Linked DNA regions of Macaca fascicularis. Each later gene encodes a partner of the first gene's protein in a complex. Links are inferred from orthologs where the notes say so. Each region holds a gene or a part of one and is shown on either strand. Other genes may lie near its edges.

Region 1 (7,003 bases):
GTGGTAAGGTCAGTATTTTTAAACCCATTTTGCAAATGAATACTGAGGTTCCAAGAGATGAGGGCACACACTTGGCAAACAGATCTACCCACTTCAGGAATGCTATTAAGAGAACCCCTCAGCATTGCTGAAGCTGATAAGAGAAAACAATTCAAGTTCAACCTGCAGGGCCACCACTCTCCTCCAGGCACGTTTAAGCAGGATCTGCAAACTAAACTCATAGGCCAAATCCCATCTGTTTCTGTAACTAGTTTTTTTGGTAACAGCCACACCTATTTGTTTACTGGTGGGTTAATGACTGCAGAGTTGAGCAGTTGCATCAGACCCCTCACTCCCACAAAGCCTCTCTGGCCCTTTACAGGAAACGTGTACTCACCCCTGCTCTAGGACAAAGTGAGGGCAGGTGGTCCCCTACCCCCCAGCTGCCATCGCGCACACCCTCATCTGCCCCAGCAGCTGTGTTGAGGACCAGCGCTCACAGCCAGATGCGCTCACAGGGTGCGCCCCTTTCCCAGGCCTTGCTCACCTCTGCTGAAAGCCCCCTTTTCTAGCAGCACTCGGAAGACATGCTGTGGAGTCCCTCTCCTGGGGGCGTCTGCGTTTTTAAGGAGGAGCTTGCTCTCTCTGAGTGCATCTTTTAGTTCATGAACTGTGGGGATGGCAGAGGGAGGCTTCTGAACAGAGTCCTGGTCAGCCCGCTGGATCGAGGGGTCAGGAATTTGTTCCGTATTTCTGAAATGACGTGTGATTCTAATCAGCGATAGTGAAGTTTGAAGCCTCGCTGTACCAAAGACTCACATTTATTGGTACCTCCATGTTGTTGATGCTGTGGCTACTCCAGTGTTTGTTTGTTTTTTTTTAACTTAAAAAACATTGTTTTTTTTTTTACTTTAAAATGTTTACAGGGAGGAGTGGATCAAAAGATGCCTCTTGTGGTATCAAGGATAAACCCAGAGTCACCTGTAAGTAAATACATTCCATGTTATTCCTCATGTTTGTTCTCCCCTAATTCTAACAGGTTTCTGTTTCTGTGTCCCATTTCTTTTTCTGCCAGAGCAAAGAACGTGCTTAGATACACCATGTTTTCTAGAACCTTGCTGCTCACTGTGCTCTTTGAAGCCATAGCACCCGTGTTACCTGGGACTTCATTAGAAATGCAGGCTCTCTGGCCCCATCTTAGGCCTGCTGAACCGGAATCTGCATTTTTAACAAGAGCCTTGAGTGGCTGGTGTGCACATTAAATTTTCGGAAGTCCTTTTCAAGAGAAGGAAACTCAGGCAGTCTGCTGTCCTGCTCACTCTAAGTGGGCACGTGGGCCCTGTGCCTCTTCTCACCATCTTTCCACCAGTGCCCCTTTCATCCTCTGTTTAGGCCTCCTAAGAAGAGCATTTGCTTTGTTTTTCTTTCAAATTTATTTTATTGTTTTTAGGCCAGACATAGTGGCTCACACCTGTAATCCCAGCACTTTGGGAGGCCGAGGCGGGTAAATCACTTGAGGCCAAGAGTTTGAGACCAGCCTGCCTGGCCAACAGGGTGAAACCCCGTCTCTACAAAAAATACAAAAAGTGTCTGGGCGTGGTGGCGCACAGGTGTGATCCCAGCTACTCGGGAGGCTGAGGCAGGAGAATTCCTTGAACCCAGGAGGCAGAGGTTGCAGTGAGCTGAGATCACGCTGCTGCAGTCCAGTCTGGGCGACAGAGTGAGACTCTGTCTCAAAAATAAAATAAAATAAATTTATTTGATTGTTTTTAAAATAATGATAAGTAATTTTTTCCTTTAATTTTTTTGTTGTGCATACTCAAGGTATACAACATGACGTCTTGTTATACATATAGTACTGCAGTCAAACAAATTAACATGTTCATCACTTTCCATAGTTAACCTTTCTTTTCTTTTTTGAGAGACAGGGTCTCGCTCCGTTGCCCAGGCTGGAATGCAATGGTGCGATCATTGCAGCCTCAAACTAGGCTCAAGCAATCCTCCTGCCTCAACCTCCCAAGTAGCTGGGACCACAGATGTGTGCCACCTCACCTGGCTCCATAGTTACCTTTTAATCATCTGCTTTTTTAAAGCAGTAGGAGTCACTGTGCCTCCTTACAGTGAGCCATGTTGGGATTACTCTGAAGTAGTCCTTAAGCTCTTGTCATTTAACTTTTGTTACTGTTTATGGTTTCTGTAAATTCAGAAGGCTTTCTTTCCTGTGCTGTTCAGTACCTTACTTCTCTCCATAATGGTTTTTGCCTCTGCTGTGAAGCTTACAAAAGCTTTCACCTTTGCAAGACAGATAAATACTCACCTCTAGCTGGCAAATCATTTCCTAACCGTACATCTAGGAAACAAAAGGCTGGAAATGGTATAGTTATATTATAATAAGTGAAGGTTGACTACCACAGAGGAATGGCATCAGCAGTTTTTATAGCCTTATTCTGAAATGTTTTATAACTTATATTCTGAGCAGTACTTCTTTATATCGTGCAACCAACTACCATGTCCACATAGCAGTAGATGTATTATAAAAACAATGACAGTACTACCCGAGGGAGAGAAGGCAAACTTGATCGTGGTCTCAGGTGTCTGGGAGCAGAGCAAGTCATGGTTCTTCCCCCGAGGACTGTGTTATGGTAACAGGAGAAATTTGCTTTTCCCCTCCACCCAGGCGGACACCTGCATTCCTAAGCTGAACGAAGGGGATCAAATCGTGTTAATCAATGGCCGGGACATCTCAGAACACACCCATGACCAAGTGGTGATGTTCATCAAAGCCAGCCGGGAGTCCCACTCACGGGAGCTGGCCCTGGTGATCAGGAGGAGAGGTAATGGCCACCTGGGGGGCGGAGCCATAGGGACACTGCCCTAGCAAAGCCACGCCTGCTCCAGCCCTTTATCTGCTCTTGAAAATGTTGAGGTTGTAGCCAACATTTGAAAATCAAGAATCTTCAGGTAATAACCCAATGTTTGGCTTCTCACTTGAAAAATGTGAAGATCTGCCCACATGAGCCTGTCCCCATGTGGCCAGTCTTCTGGAGGGAGGCAGCGCCCACCCACCCTCTTTATACAGGACATGAGCCCCTGGCTCCCAATTCCTCCCAGGCCCAACGCAGCCCACGTCACGCAGTCCCTAAGCGGCACGACCCTGCAGACATTTGCATTTTCAGCCCCTTCCCAAATGATCGGGTGATATTTTATTCATGCATGTTTGATTTTGTCGGGGAGGCAGTGAGGAGAGCAGAGCCTGACTGTCTCAGGTGATTCCTCACTCTGCCTCTGCGGGCTAGGGACCTTGCAGGAGTTACATAACCATTCTGTGGTTCAGCTGGCTCAGGTGTGGAGGAGGACAGGAGTGGTCCCGACTTCACAGGGTTGTTGTGAAGATTAAATGACACTTGGGGCTGGGCACAGTGGCTCACACCTGTAATCCCAGCACTTTAGAAGGCCGAGGCGGTTGTATCACCCAAGGTCAGGAGTTCGAGACCAACTTGACCAACATGGTGAAACCCCATCTCTGCCAAAAATACAATAGCCAGGTGTGGTGCCGTGTGGGTATAGTCCCAGCTACTCAGGAGACTGAGGCAGGAGAATCACTTGAATCCAGGAAGTGGAGGTTACAGTGCGCTAAGATCGTGCCACTGCACTCCAGCCTGGGTGACAGAGCGAGACTCCATCTCAATCAAGCAATCAATCAATCAATCAATGGCACTTAGACTGGAAAGTACCTGCATTGCTGCCTGATGGGAGCAGAGGTTTGAAGGACAGCCCCTACTGAGCATCACAATGTTGTCTTTATAGTTGTTGTTATAAAATAATACATCAAGTTCCTTGAACACCCTGCACAACTGTAAAATACTGAAAGTAAATGAAGGTTGTAGCTGCAAAGCCCTGGCCCTGTGTCTCTGCCTTCCTAGCACATGTGGCTCACACCCCACACTGCTGCGCTCCTGCCTCAGCTCTGCTCCCACTACAACTCTCAGTCCAGAGCCACTAGGACCAGCTCTGACCCTACCTCCTCCGTGAGGCCTTATTGGATCTCTCCGGATCCCCACCTGTGCAAGGTGGGAGGTGGGGGGGGGGTCCTAGCTTTGCTTTCACCTGTATTGAATTTAACATGAAGGGAGAATGTGCACTAAAGAGGTAGGGCTGAAGCACAGAAGAGATGCTAGGACTACAGTATTTACGTAGGAGCCTCCCACACAGAAATGGCCCTGAGTTAGGGATTGCGCTCTCAGGAATGATGGTGTCACAGGGAAAGCCTTTGACCTCACCCTCATGCCTGGGGAAATGCCCAGTTTTGGGAAGTAAATGAAAAAACCTGAGAAAGAAAGGGGAGTCGGGATGGGTAGAAGAATAACCAGGTCAGAAAGAGCAAGCAGAGACAATATGCTTTTTAAAAAAACACTCTTTCCCTTTCCTTTACCTTTGACAAAAACCTCTGGGTGCTAAACACCATTATTTAAAACTAACCAGGAAGATTAGCATGTCATTTTATGTAATTAACACATATTGAATCATTCACCTAGAAGTAGTATCTTTGGTGCAAATGATTACCGTGTAGCTTAATCATTTAATAAGATGTTTTCAACCATCTGCATTCAGGTGTCATAGGTGTGATTTGTTTGAGGAAAACTGATAAACCCGGGTGCTGCTGCACAAGTCAGATGCCCTGTCTTGTACATTACAGCTGTCCGCTCATTCGCTGACTTCAAGTCTGAAGATGAACTGAACCAGCTTTTCCCCGAGGCCATTTTCCCCATGTGTCCAGAGGGTGGGGACACTTTGGAGGGGTCCATGGCACAACTAAAGAAGGGCCTCGAAAGCGGGACGGTGCTGATCCAGTTTGAGGTAAGACCCTCTGGAGGCTGAATCCCAAGGCCTGGGCCACTGCCGTGTCGCCTGTGAGGCTGTCCCTGCCTCTGAGCAGCAGAGGAAATGAGGCAGAGACACAAGCCCTCATTTCCTCGGCCGAGGTGATTGTGTGTTTCACAAACCAAAAACAGTCAACTGAGTCTCTGTGAGGACTGACAGGGCGAGGCCTGTGCTTGTCATGGATAACAGAGCACAGCAGGCAGCACCACCTCAGGCTCGGAGCAGCAAGCAGGGATCAGGATGGCCACCCTCGCTGAACTCTGTCTCACCCTCTTATTCTAGTAACATTTGGTAGTCATGGAGAAACATGCCAGAAACTGAGGAGGAGGGACTCTGAGCGTATTTAGCTGCCAACACAAAAGCTCAAAACTCCCAGCAGTAGAAGGCAGTGGAGAGACAGTTGTGGGTGAGCAGCCCAGGGTGGGTGAAGGAGCCAGCTCTCTGACCACCCCCAGCCGTGCACTGGAATTTGGAGCAATTAGTGTCATCCCATGAGGGCACAGTGTCTTGCCCTCCCAGTTTGCCCAGAACCCTATAAACACAAGAAACCAAACTCAAACGCCTGTCTTTCCCAGGGGAACCTGTGATCCCTAGGATTCAGGCTGTTGACAAAGGTACACACAGACATTTTTTATAAAACAAAAGGGAACCAAAGGAGACTCAGCTTTTAAGCCAGTTTTACTGATTACTAACAGAATTAAAATAGAATGTGTTCATCTTCCAAATTTATTTTCTTATTTTTATTTTTTAAATATGTTGTTGTTGTTGTTGTTTAAAATAGAGGTAGGGTCTCACTATGTTGCCCAGGCCGGTCGTGAACTCCTGGACCCAAGGAGTCCTCCCGCCTCGGCCTTCCAAAATGCTGAAGTTACAGGCGTGAGCCACCACACCCAGCCCATCTCCCTAATTTATTTGAAAGTAGAAGAAAACAGAGTAATTCCTGTAATAAAAGAATACCAAAAAGCATAAAATAGGTCAACAAAAGAAAATAGATCATCATTAGAAATAACAACAGTCTGGGTTCATAAATTCAGGAAGAGAGTCTCACATGGGACTCAAGAACAGAAATCAACAATGCATTATTTATTAGAAAACCACATAAAGGAAAAAGAAGCAAAACCCGGACATTTGTGAAATGTGTGTGACTGCAGAGTAATTCAGGAAGGCTTGAGTAATAGGAATGCTGAAAACGAAGGAATGCAAAGCAGAGAGCTGTGAGTGAAAGGTTGATTTTATGATGCATGTGAAAATAAATTAAAGCAATGTGTATTGAACAGCGTAGAAAGCAAAAATCCACAAGCCAGAAAGTAAAAGTGACTGACTTCCCCCCCCAAAACAATCAGCAGGGAATTAATTAATGTATTTCTTTATTTAGAGACAGGGTCTCTGTCACCCAGGTTGGAGTGCAGTGGTGCCATCTTGGCTCACTGTAGCCTCCACCTCCCAGGCTCAAGTGATCCTCCTACCTCAGCCTCCCGAGCAGCTGGGACTATAGGTATGCACCGCTCCACTCCTCGCTAATTTGTTTTGTATTATTCTTTTGTAGAGATGCAGTTTTGCCATGTTGCCCAGACTGGTCTCAAACTCCTGGGCTGAAGCAAGCCACCTGCCTTGGCCCCCCAAAGTGCTACAATTACAGGCATGAGCCACCACAACCAGCCATTTAACATTTTTTATTAATCATCTTGACACAGTATAAAACAAAAATTATGTACCTTATGGAAATGAAGTCTGGATAAAAGGGTAGTAACAATATAATTACTTGGGTAAAACTAATAGATATATTACTGAGTATTCTACAAAGGGACATAGCCCTATTTTTCAGTGGCCTACAGGAGGCTGTTCACACTTTTGGTTAAAAAGAAGAAAATGTAGGCTGGGCACATTGGCTCACGCCTGTAATCCCAGCACTTTGGGAGGCCGAGGCGAGTGGATCACCTGAGGTCAGGAGCTCAAGACCAGCTTGGCCAGCATGGTGAAACCCGGTCTCTACTAAAAATACAAAAATTAGCCATGCGTGGTGGCGGGCACCTGTAATCCTAGCTACTTGGGAGGCTAAGGCAGGGGAATTGCTTGAACCTGGGAAGTGGAGGTTGCAGTAAGCCAAGATCAGCCTGGGCGACAGAGCAAGACTCCATCTCAA
Region 2 (7,681 bases), on another chromosome or scaffold:
ACGCTGGGGCCGGGACCCTGGGAGACTCAAAGGGAGAGGTCTCAGTGGTTAGAGCTGCTCAGCCTGGAAGTAGGGGGCTGTCCTGGTCAGTGCTGAGACCCACAGGTCTAAGAGGAGTGGCAGAGCCAGTGTGCCACCAGGCTGGGCACGGACAACCACCAGGTGTCAAATGAGAAAAGCTGCCTGGAGCCTTGTGTTCACCCGTGGGTGTGTGTGGGCACATGTGGATGAGCGTGCACTCCTCGTGTTCATATGTCAGGGCACATGTGATATGGTGCATGTGAATCTGTGGGCGCCTAAGGGCCAGCAGCCATGCCTGGCAAGAAGCTGGCGCTGGGGCGGGCGTGCTGTTGCCTTCCCTCTCCTCAGTTCCTGATGCTGTGAGGGGTGTTTCAGACTGGGGGCTCCAGTGGGCGAAAGGGCAGCCACATGAGCGCCAGCACGGGCTTTCTCCTCGGATATGTGACCCGCAGCAGGCTCCTGAGGCTGGGGGTGACTGGGTGGTTTGGCCTTGGGACGCTAAGGCAGGTAGCACACGCGGGTGTGGACTTGGACTCGGACACTTGTGCGCCGCACCCTGGCCCGCTCTCTACCTCTGCCCACCGTTGTGGCCCTGCAGCCGGAGATCTGAGGTGCTCTGGTCTGCGGGTCAGTCCTCTTTCCTTGTCCCAGGATGGAGCTGATCCAGTAACCTCGGAGACGGGACCCTGCCCAGAGCTGAGTTGGGGGTATGGCTCTGCCCTGGAAAGGGGGTGACCTCTTGCCTCGAGGGGCCCAGGGAAGCCTGGGTGTCAAGTGCCTGCACCAGGGGTGCACAATAAAGGGGGTTCTCTCGCTCGGTTCATATCCAAAGGCCACTCCAGGTCCTGCTGCCCCCGCCATCCCCACTGCTGGGCATGGGGGGAGTGTCTGGGTCACTCTGCATCACTCACCTCTAGCTGGCCAGATCCCTCAGGCCCCCAGTCAGACCAGTGGCCATCTTCTGGCACCCTCCCTGCTCCCTGGAGGGTCTGAGCCCAGGGGGACCAGGGGAGGACACGGCTGATGGGTGGGCTCTGAGGGCACAGGGTGGGACGGCCACCCAGATGGTGACCCCAGCTGCCCTGTGGGGATGTACTGGGCAGGCTTGGCTTTGGGCCAAGATCCAGACACCACCTCCCTACCCCTCAGTGGTCAGGGAAGCTGGCTGGGGGGAAGTTGGGTGTCAAGGGAGCAAGGGTCTGCCCATCCCTGGGCGGGGGCTGGGTGGGCTAGGGAAAATAGCTTTCCTTTCCTTCCTGGTGAAGGAAAAAGAGGCCACTTTAACCCAGAGAATGTGTGTGCTGGTCCCGTTCCCACTATGCTCTGCAGCTTACGTGTGGGGGAGGGGCCAGACCATTTGGGGTCAGGCAGTGTCTCTAGGGGCCAGGGACAGTCTGTGCCCTTGCTTGGGTCTTGGGTAGGGGTGGAAACTGTCTGGGAGTTGGGGGCCCTCCTGGGGCCTCATCAGTGTAGTGGTCAGTCCTGGGGGAAGTCCAGTGTTGGCGGTTGGGGGTGGGAGCAGAATGGGGACACAGCCCCACCTCAGAAGCCTGGTCTGTGCGGGGCCTTCTGGACCCCTGAGCTCCACCACGGGGAGTTAAGGGGGACAGCAGTGGCAGCTGGGCTTCCTGAAAGAGGTAGATGGAGTGCCACAGGCAGCCCAGGGCACAAAGGGTGCAGGCCACAGGCAGCTGTGGTTTGGGCAGCCCCGGGCTGCCCCTGCTCACTGGGCACGAGCTGATGAATGCCACGGAACACAGCCCAAAGCCCAGGTGTAAAGCTCCTCCCGCCCTTGAGCGGCTGAGCTGCTGATTCATGGCCGGAGGGCGGGGCAGAGGGCCCTAGCGATCCTGTTACCCACCAGCCCAGTGGGCTCCCGGGGTGCACCCACATCCCTCCTCAGACCCAGGTTTCTGGACTGTGGAGGGGGTGTCAGGGTGGGGCTTGGCCCACCAGAGCATCTGGTCTAGGATGGGGCCAGACATATGGGAGGATAACGCCCACACAGAGGGGTCAGGCTGAGGGCCCCAGCAGGTCCCCATCCCTGCTGGAGACAGTGCAGCCACCCTCAGCCTGGGTTTTGCAGGACAGGACAGGCAGGGATGGGACGGGCAGGGGCACCAGCACTTGCAACACTTGCAGCAGTCACCCCGCAGATGGGGGGAGCAGGGGGAGGAGTTGGGTGTCCAAAAGGGCCCTCGGGTACCTATGGGACTGAGAGGCCCGGGGTCAGTGGCCACAGGGGTGGGGTTGGGGATGCAGCCTGAGGATTTTGGGAGACAGACCCCTCCGTGTAGAAAGAGGGATACAGGCAAGACAGGTGCAGATGGACCCCCCATTCGGGGATGGATGGATCAGGCGCAGAGGTAGGGCATCCTTGGGGGTGGCGTGGGAAGTTGACTCTAGGTACACAGGGCTCAGCCCAACTTGGGACTGCCGATAGAAGTCAGCGCTCAGGCTGTCAAGGATGGGCCCTGCGCCCTGGAACCATGGGCAGTCAGGACTGGAGCCCAGGGTCTCCGCAGGAGCTCCCCACTCTCCCGGCTCCACCCCCAGAGCGGGGCAGTTCAGCCAAAGGGGAGAGGCTGACGGGGGTATCTCCGCGCCGCGTCCGGCCCTAGGTCGGGACAAAGCTGCGGGGCGGCGCTCCCCTCCCCCTGCGCTTCCCCCCAGGCTCCGGCCCTCCCCCGGCGGCGGCCGCCTCGGGTTTCCGGAGGGGCCGGAGGGCGGGCGAGGGCGTCACGTGCGCGCCGCCCGCGGGCCGGTTGGTCCCCGGGCGGGGGAGGGGCCGTGCGCTGCCTGGGTCGGGGTCGGGCCAGGGTCGGCACCTGGGACATCCCCGAGGGAAGGGCCGGGAACAGGAGCGTCCCAGCGGCGGGCGGGCGAGCAGCGCAGAGTCGGCCCGGGGCGCACGCCGAGGAAGCCCCGCCGATCCCAGGTCCCCGGTCCTGGGGCACCGCCCGCGGGCTCTGCGGGGTGGGCGGCTCCCGGGCCTGCCATGAGCTCTCCGCCGCCTGCCCGCAGTGGCTTTTACCGCCAGGAGGTGACTAAGACGGCCTGGGAGGTGCGCGCCGTGTACCGGGACCTGCAGCCCGTGGGCTCGGGCGCCTATGGCGCGGTGTGGTGAGCGCGGGGCGGCCGGCGGGGCGGGCGGGGCCTGCGCGGGGTGCCCGGCCTTCCCGCTAAGCGGTCCGCCCCGCAGCTCGGCCGTGGACAGCCGCACCGGCGCTAAGGTGGCCATCAAGAAGCTGTACCGGCCCTTCCAGTCGGAGCTGTTCGCCAAGCGCGCCTACCGCGAGCTGCGCCTGCTCAAGCACATGCGCCACGAGAACGTGAGTCGCGCGACCCCGCTCCGGGAAGGCGCCCCGGCCTCGGCTGGGTTCGGCTGGGCTGGGTCCCTCCACCCGGCAACTCCTTCCCCAGGCAACCTGCTGTGGGGCGGGGCGGGGGTCGGGCCGTGGGCCCCCAGGGGAGAAGGAGAGCAAGGAGACGACTCCCCCAAGGGCCATTCCCCCTCCTCTGCCAGGCCCGGGAAAGAGCCCCTTGACTTGGCGTCTCAGCCAGGCCCTGGTCAGGGGACACGACTTGGCCAGGCCCAGGGGATCCTCCAGGTCTCACGCCAAACCCTGCCCCCAGCCAGGAAGCCCGCGGTGAGAGGATGCTCCCGGCAGGAGGATTTTCCTGGAAGGGGCACCTTCTCTTTCCCATCCGGGCCCCTCTCCAGCCCCTCTGTGGAGCCCACTTTGTTGCTGTCCATCTCCCTAGTCTTCCGACCCGGTGGAGGGGGAGGAGGGGGGCGCCAGAACGTAGGGAGTATGGTGAACCCTGGGGGTGAGTGAAGGGTTCAGGGAGCTGCTGTTTGGGGGGCACTGGGCGTGGTGGTCATCTCACAGACACCCTCCCTTTCGTTGTGGGGGCCCATCCTTTCCAGTCCTGCCTGTGAGATGCCATGCACAGCTGCCCTGGGCCTCTCCCACGGCGTGGCTGGCTGCGAAGAGCCTGACTTCTCTGCCAGGGGCCCTCTGGTTTCTGGACACAGTCCCACTTGTCCACTGCCCCCCATGTCACTCCTGCCCTGCCCCTGGTCTGGGCCCAGCCTGAAGGCAGGTGGTCTGGGCACCCGGACCCTAGCTCCAGTGTGAGATGCTCTGGACCCTCCTGGGTCATCCGAGCCACCGGTGCCCTGGGAGAATGAGTCCCTGCGTCCACCAGCAAACCACCTGCCCCCTGGTTCCTGGCCACCGCCACTCTCTCAGCCCCTTGGGTGGGTCCTTTTCTCTGAGGCTTCCCATAGCCCACCCTGACCCCAGCTCACCACCCCGGGCCCTGTGAAATCTGTTTGCAGTGGACACCAACCTTGCCCCCACCTCGACACCCCCGTCACACCCGGCCCTGCCCCCACCTTGCCACCACTGCACTCCCCCATCCCGCCCGTCACACCAAGACCTTGCCCCAGGACTGTAGCCTTCCCCTCGGCCCCCTGCCCCCACCCACCCACTCACTCACCTGCTTGGGCCTTGCCCCATCCAGCCAAGCGCTCTGGGGCTTTTCTTTCTTCTTTTTTTTTTTTTCTTTTGAGATGGAGTTTCGCTCTTGTTGCCCAGGCTGGAGTGCAATGGCATGATCTCGGCTCACCACAATCTTTGCCTCCTGGGTTCAAGTGATTCTCCTGCCTCAGCCTCCTGAGTAGCTGGGATTACAGGTCCATGCCACCATGCCTGGCTAATGCTTTGTATTTTTAGTAGAGACGGTGTTTCATTATTTTGGGCAGACTGGTCTCAAACCCCTGACCTCAAGTGATCCGCCTGCCTCGGCCTCCCAAAGTGCTGAGATTACAGGCCTGAACCACCGCGCCCGTCCACTGGGGCTTCTCTTTTTTGAGATGGGGTCTCCCTCTGTCGCCTAGGCTGGAGTGCAATGGCGCGATCTGCGACCTCCACCTCCTGGGTTCACACAATTCTCCTGCCTCAGCCTCTCTAGTAGCTGTGACTCTAGGCACCCACCACCACACCCGGCTAACTTTTTGTATTTTTAGTAGAGACGGAGTTTCACTATGTTGGCCAGGCTGGTCTTGAACTCCTGACCTCGTGATCCGCCTGCCTTCGCCTCCCAAATTGCTGGGAGTGCAGCCGTGACCCACCGCGCTGGGCTTTTCTTTAGCCACCGCCCTGCTGTCCTGGGGTCCCCGCTGTGCCTGGGGGTCCACCCCCTGGGCTCCCGGCCTGCAGCTGAGGCTCCTTCCCTGGAACCCCATCTTCCTGGAAGACTGAAGCTCTGTGAGGCCACATGCCTTGCTCAGCGGGGGAGGAGGCTCTGCCACAGGCCCCAGTCCTGCCATCCCCATGCCACCTCCCTCTCCAGGCCAGCCCCCACACCACAGAGGCCAAGTCAAGTCCTATGGCCCCTAGCCCACAGGACACTGCTTTCCATCTTCTGCCAAAGCGCTCTCCTGGGCACCCTCCAGCTGTCGTGTCCACAGACCCCACTGCTCCCAGGCCTCCCTGGACGGGCCTCTGTTCCTTCTCCTCCTCCCTCCACATTCTTGCCCACGGCTCTGGCAGAGCTGTCCTTCCAGTTTAGGTCCATTCTTGCTTCACTCTGGCCAGTCCCTACACCACGGCCAGCAGGACGCGTTTAGCATCACACCCGTTTAAATCCTTCCCTTTCTCTTGGGATCAAAGCCAAACTTTCACCTGGTGTGTGCTGCCCTGCCGGCTCCCTCTGGCCTCTCCTCAGCCCCTCCCTGGCCTGGGCCTTGGCCACCTGGCCTCCCTCCCTGTGTTCCTCAAACTCTCCCAAGTGTTCTCCCTCTTGCCTTGGCCACTCTGCATGTGCCCTCTGCCGGGTGTCCTGCAGCCCACATGTCTACCTGTCCCTCCATCCTTGGCTGTGCAGAACTTCTCCGGGCCTCCCTGGGACCCTGTCACCCCAAAATGCTGAGGCAGCAGTTATCACATGACCTGTCCACTGTCCATCTCCCCAACCAGGGGTGCTGTGGGGACCAGGTCTGGCAGGTCATGGTGCTGTCCACCTGGGCCTCACCAGCAGAGGCCTGGCCTCTCCTCATAGCGCTATCCCTTCCCTGGGTGTCAGTCTGCTTGGTTGGGGAGAAGAGGGGAGAAAGGGGCAAGTGGCAGGAGCCCTTTGGATGGTTCAGAGCCAGCCCAGACTCCGGGTTGCCCTTCCCCCAGAAGATCCCGGCTGTCACCATCCAAAAATAACCTGTCTGTGGGTATGTGTGCCAGGGCTGGGCCACGCTGCCAGTGGGCAGAGCCAGGCCCTTTGGACAGTGGGGCATGACGACAGCTGCAGAGGGGGTTTCCTGCCCAGAGGGCTGTGCCACTCTTGGGGGGTGTCCCAGCCCGTGTCCTCCGCTGCACTCTCAACCCTACCTGGCCCCCCAGGTGATTGGGCTGCTGGATGTGTTCACTCCTGATGAGACCCTGGATGACTTCACAGACTTGTGAGTGCCGACCTGGGCTGGCTGCTGGGCACAAGGGGTGGTGGGCAGCTCTGGGCACTGGCTTCAGGTTCCAGTTTGGCATGGGGTTCTCTTCCTGTAGCCTGAGTGGGGGATGCACACTGCCAACCCCCCCCATACTACTCTGCCCCACACCCTCCCCCACATGGTCCTGAGACCCACAGCTGGGCAGAGCTGGGGCTGCTGCCTCCCTTCACGCCTGGCACCTGGGCTCTCCGGCACCGGAGGTGTGAACCTTGGACCTGACCATTTGTTAACAGGAAGGTCCCGTGCTGGGGACCCTGGCACCAAGTGTGTGGCCGGTAACTGGAGCTGCTGACCTTTCCCAGCAGGTGGGGGAGAAGCGGTAGGGAGGACCCACCCTGCCCTTGCCCTGCAGCCGACCACCCCGGGACTCACACCTTGTCAGCCAAGAGTGAAGGGCCAGGCTGAGGAAGGCCTGGAGAGGGTAGCAGATGCCTCCCGCCTGACTTGCAGAGGTCAAGGACCCACGCTGGCCTCAGTGGCCTCTGGGGAGGTGCTAAATACCATTCTCCTGTGTCCGTCTCCACCGGCTCAGCCAGCCCCTCTGACCCAGATGCCTTGCCTTGCCCCCATCGCCCCCAGGCACCTCCCTCATCTCTGGCACAAAGTTCCGAGGTTGAAACCTGACTGCCTCCCTCCCCTGCCTGTGAAGACTCGAGCCCTGCAGCCTCAGCCCCAGCCTGGCACGCAGGGCGCTTTAGCAGAGGGTTCAAAAACCCCAAAGGGAGGCCGGGGCGGTGGCTCAAGCCTGTAATCCCAGCACTTTGGGAGGCCGAGACGGGCGGATCACGAGGTCAGGAGATCGAGACCATCCTGGCTAACACGGTGAAACCCCGTCTCTACTAAAAAATACAAAAAACTAGCCAGGCGAGGTGGTGGGCGCCTGTAGTCCCAGGCTGAGGCTGAGGCAGGAGAATGGCATGAACTCGGGAGGCGGAGCTTGCAGTGAGCTGAGATCCGGCCACTGCACTCCAGCCTGGGGGACAGAGCAAGACTCCGTCTCAAAAAAAACAAAAACAAAAACCCCAAAGGGCAGCCTCCTGCCTGTCTGACAGTCCTCAGAGTGGGAGGGAGGTGTGAGCGTTGCTGGCAGTGACAGTTGGGGCAGGATGGAGCCTGGCACTGCAAGGTGGGGTTGTGAGGATGCCGAGGCTA

The links. Proteins that work in one complex are often made in the same cells at the same time.
Region 2: the proteins of PTPN3 (region 1) and MAPK12 are in contact, whole or in part, in a crystal structure (PDB 4QUM), measured with the Homo sapiens proteins. The link is inferred for Macaca fascicularis from reciprocal best matches to the Homo sapiens genes PTPN3 and MAPK12. Residues at the interface, in NP_002820.3 of Homo sapiens: Arg655, Leu671, Asn674, Arg675, Tyr676, Lys677, Asp678, Val679, Arg751, His812, Ser843, Ala844, Gly845, Ile846, Gly847, Arg848, Met883, Gln886, Thr887; in NP_002960.2 of Homo sapiens: Met182, Thr183, Gly184, Tyr185, Val186, Val187, Arg189.

The regions. Positions count from the first base shown.
Region 1 is NC_088389.1:48,706,653-48,713,655, forward strand, and holds part of PTPN3 (tyrosine-protein phosphatase non-receptor type 3), read left to right. Parts: intron 1-905; coding exon 906-962; intron 963-2,656; coding exon 2,657-2,813; intron 2,814-4,675; coding exon 4,676-4,836; intron 4,837-7,003.
Region 2 is NC_088384.1:1,293,371-1,301,051, forward strand, and holds the start of MAPK12 (mitogen-activated protein kinase 12), read left to right. Parts: upstream 1-2,851; 5' UTR 2,852-3,019; coding exon 3,020-3,144; intron 3,145-3,223; coding exon 3,224-3,353; intron 3,354-6,425; coding exon 6,426-6,484; intron 6,485-7,681. UniProt on the Homo sapiens protein: Serine/threonine kinase which acts as an essential component of the MAP kinase signal transduction pathway.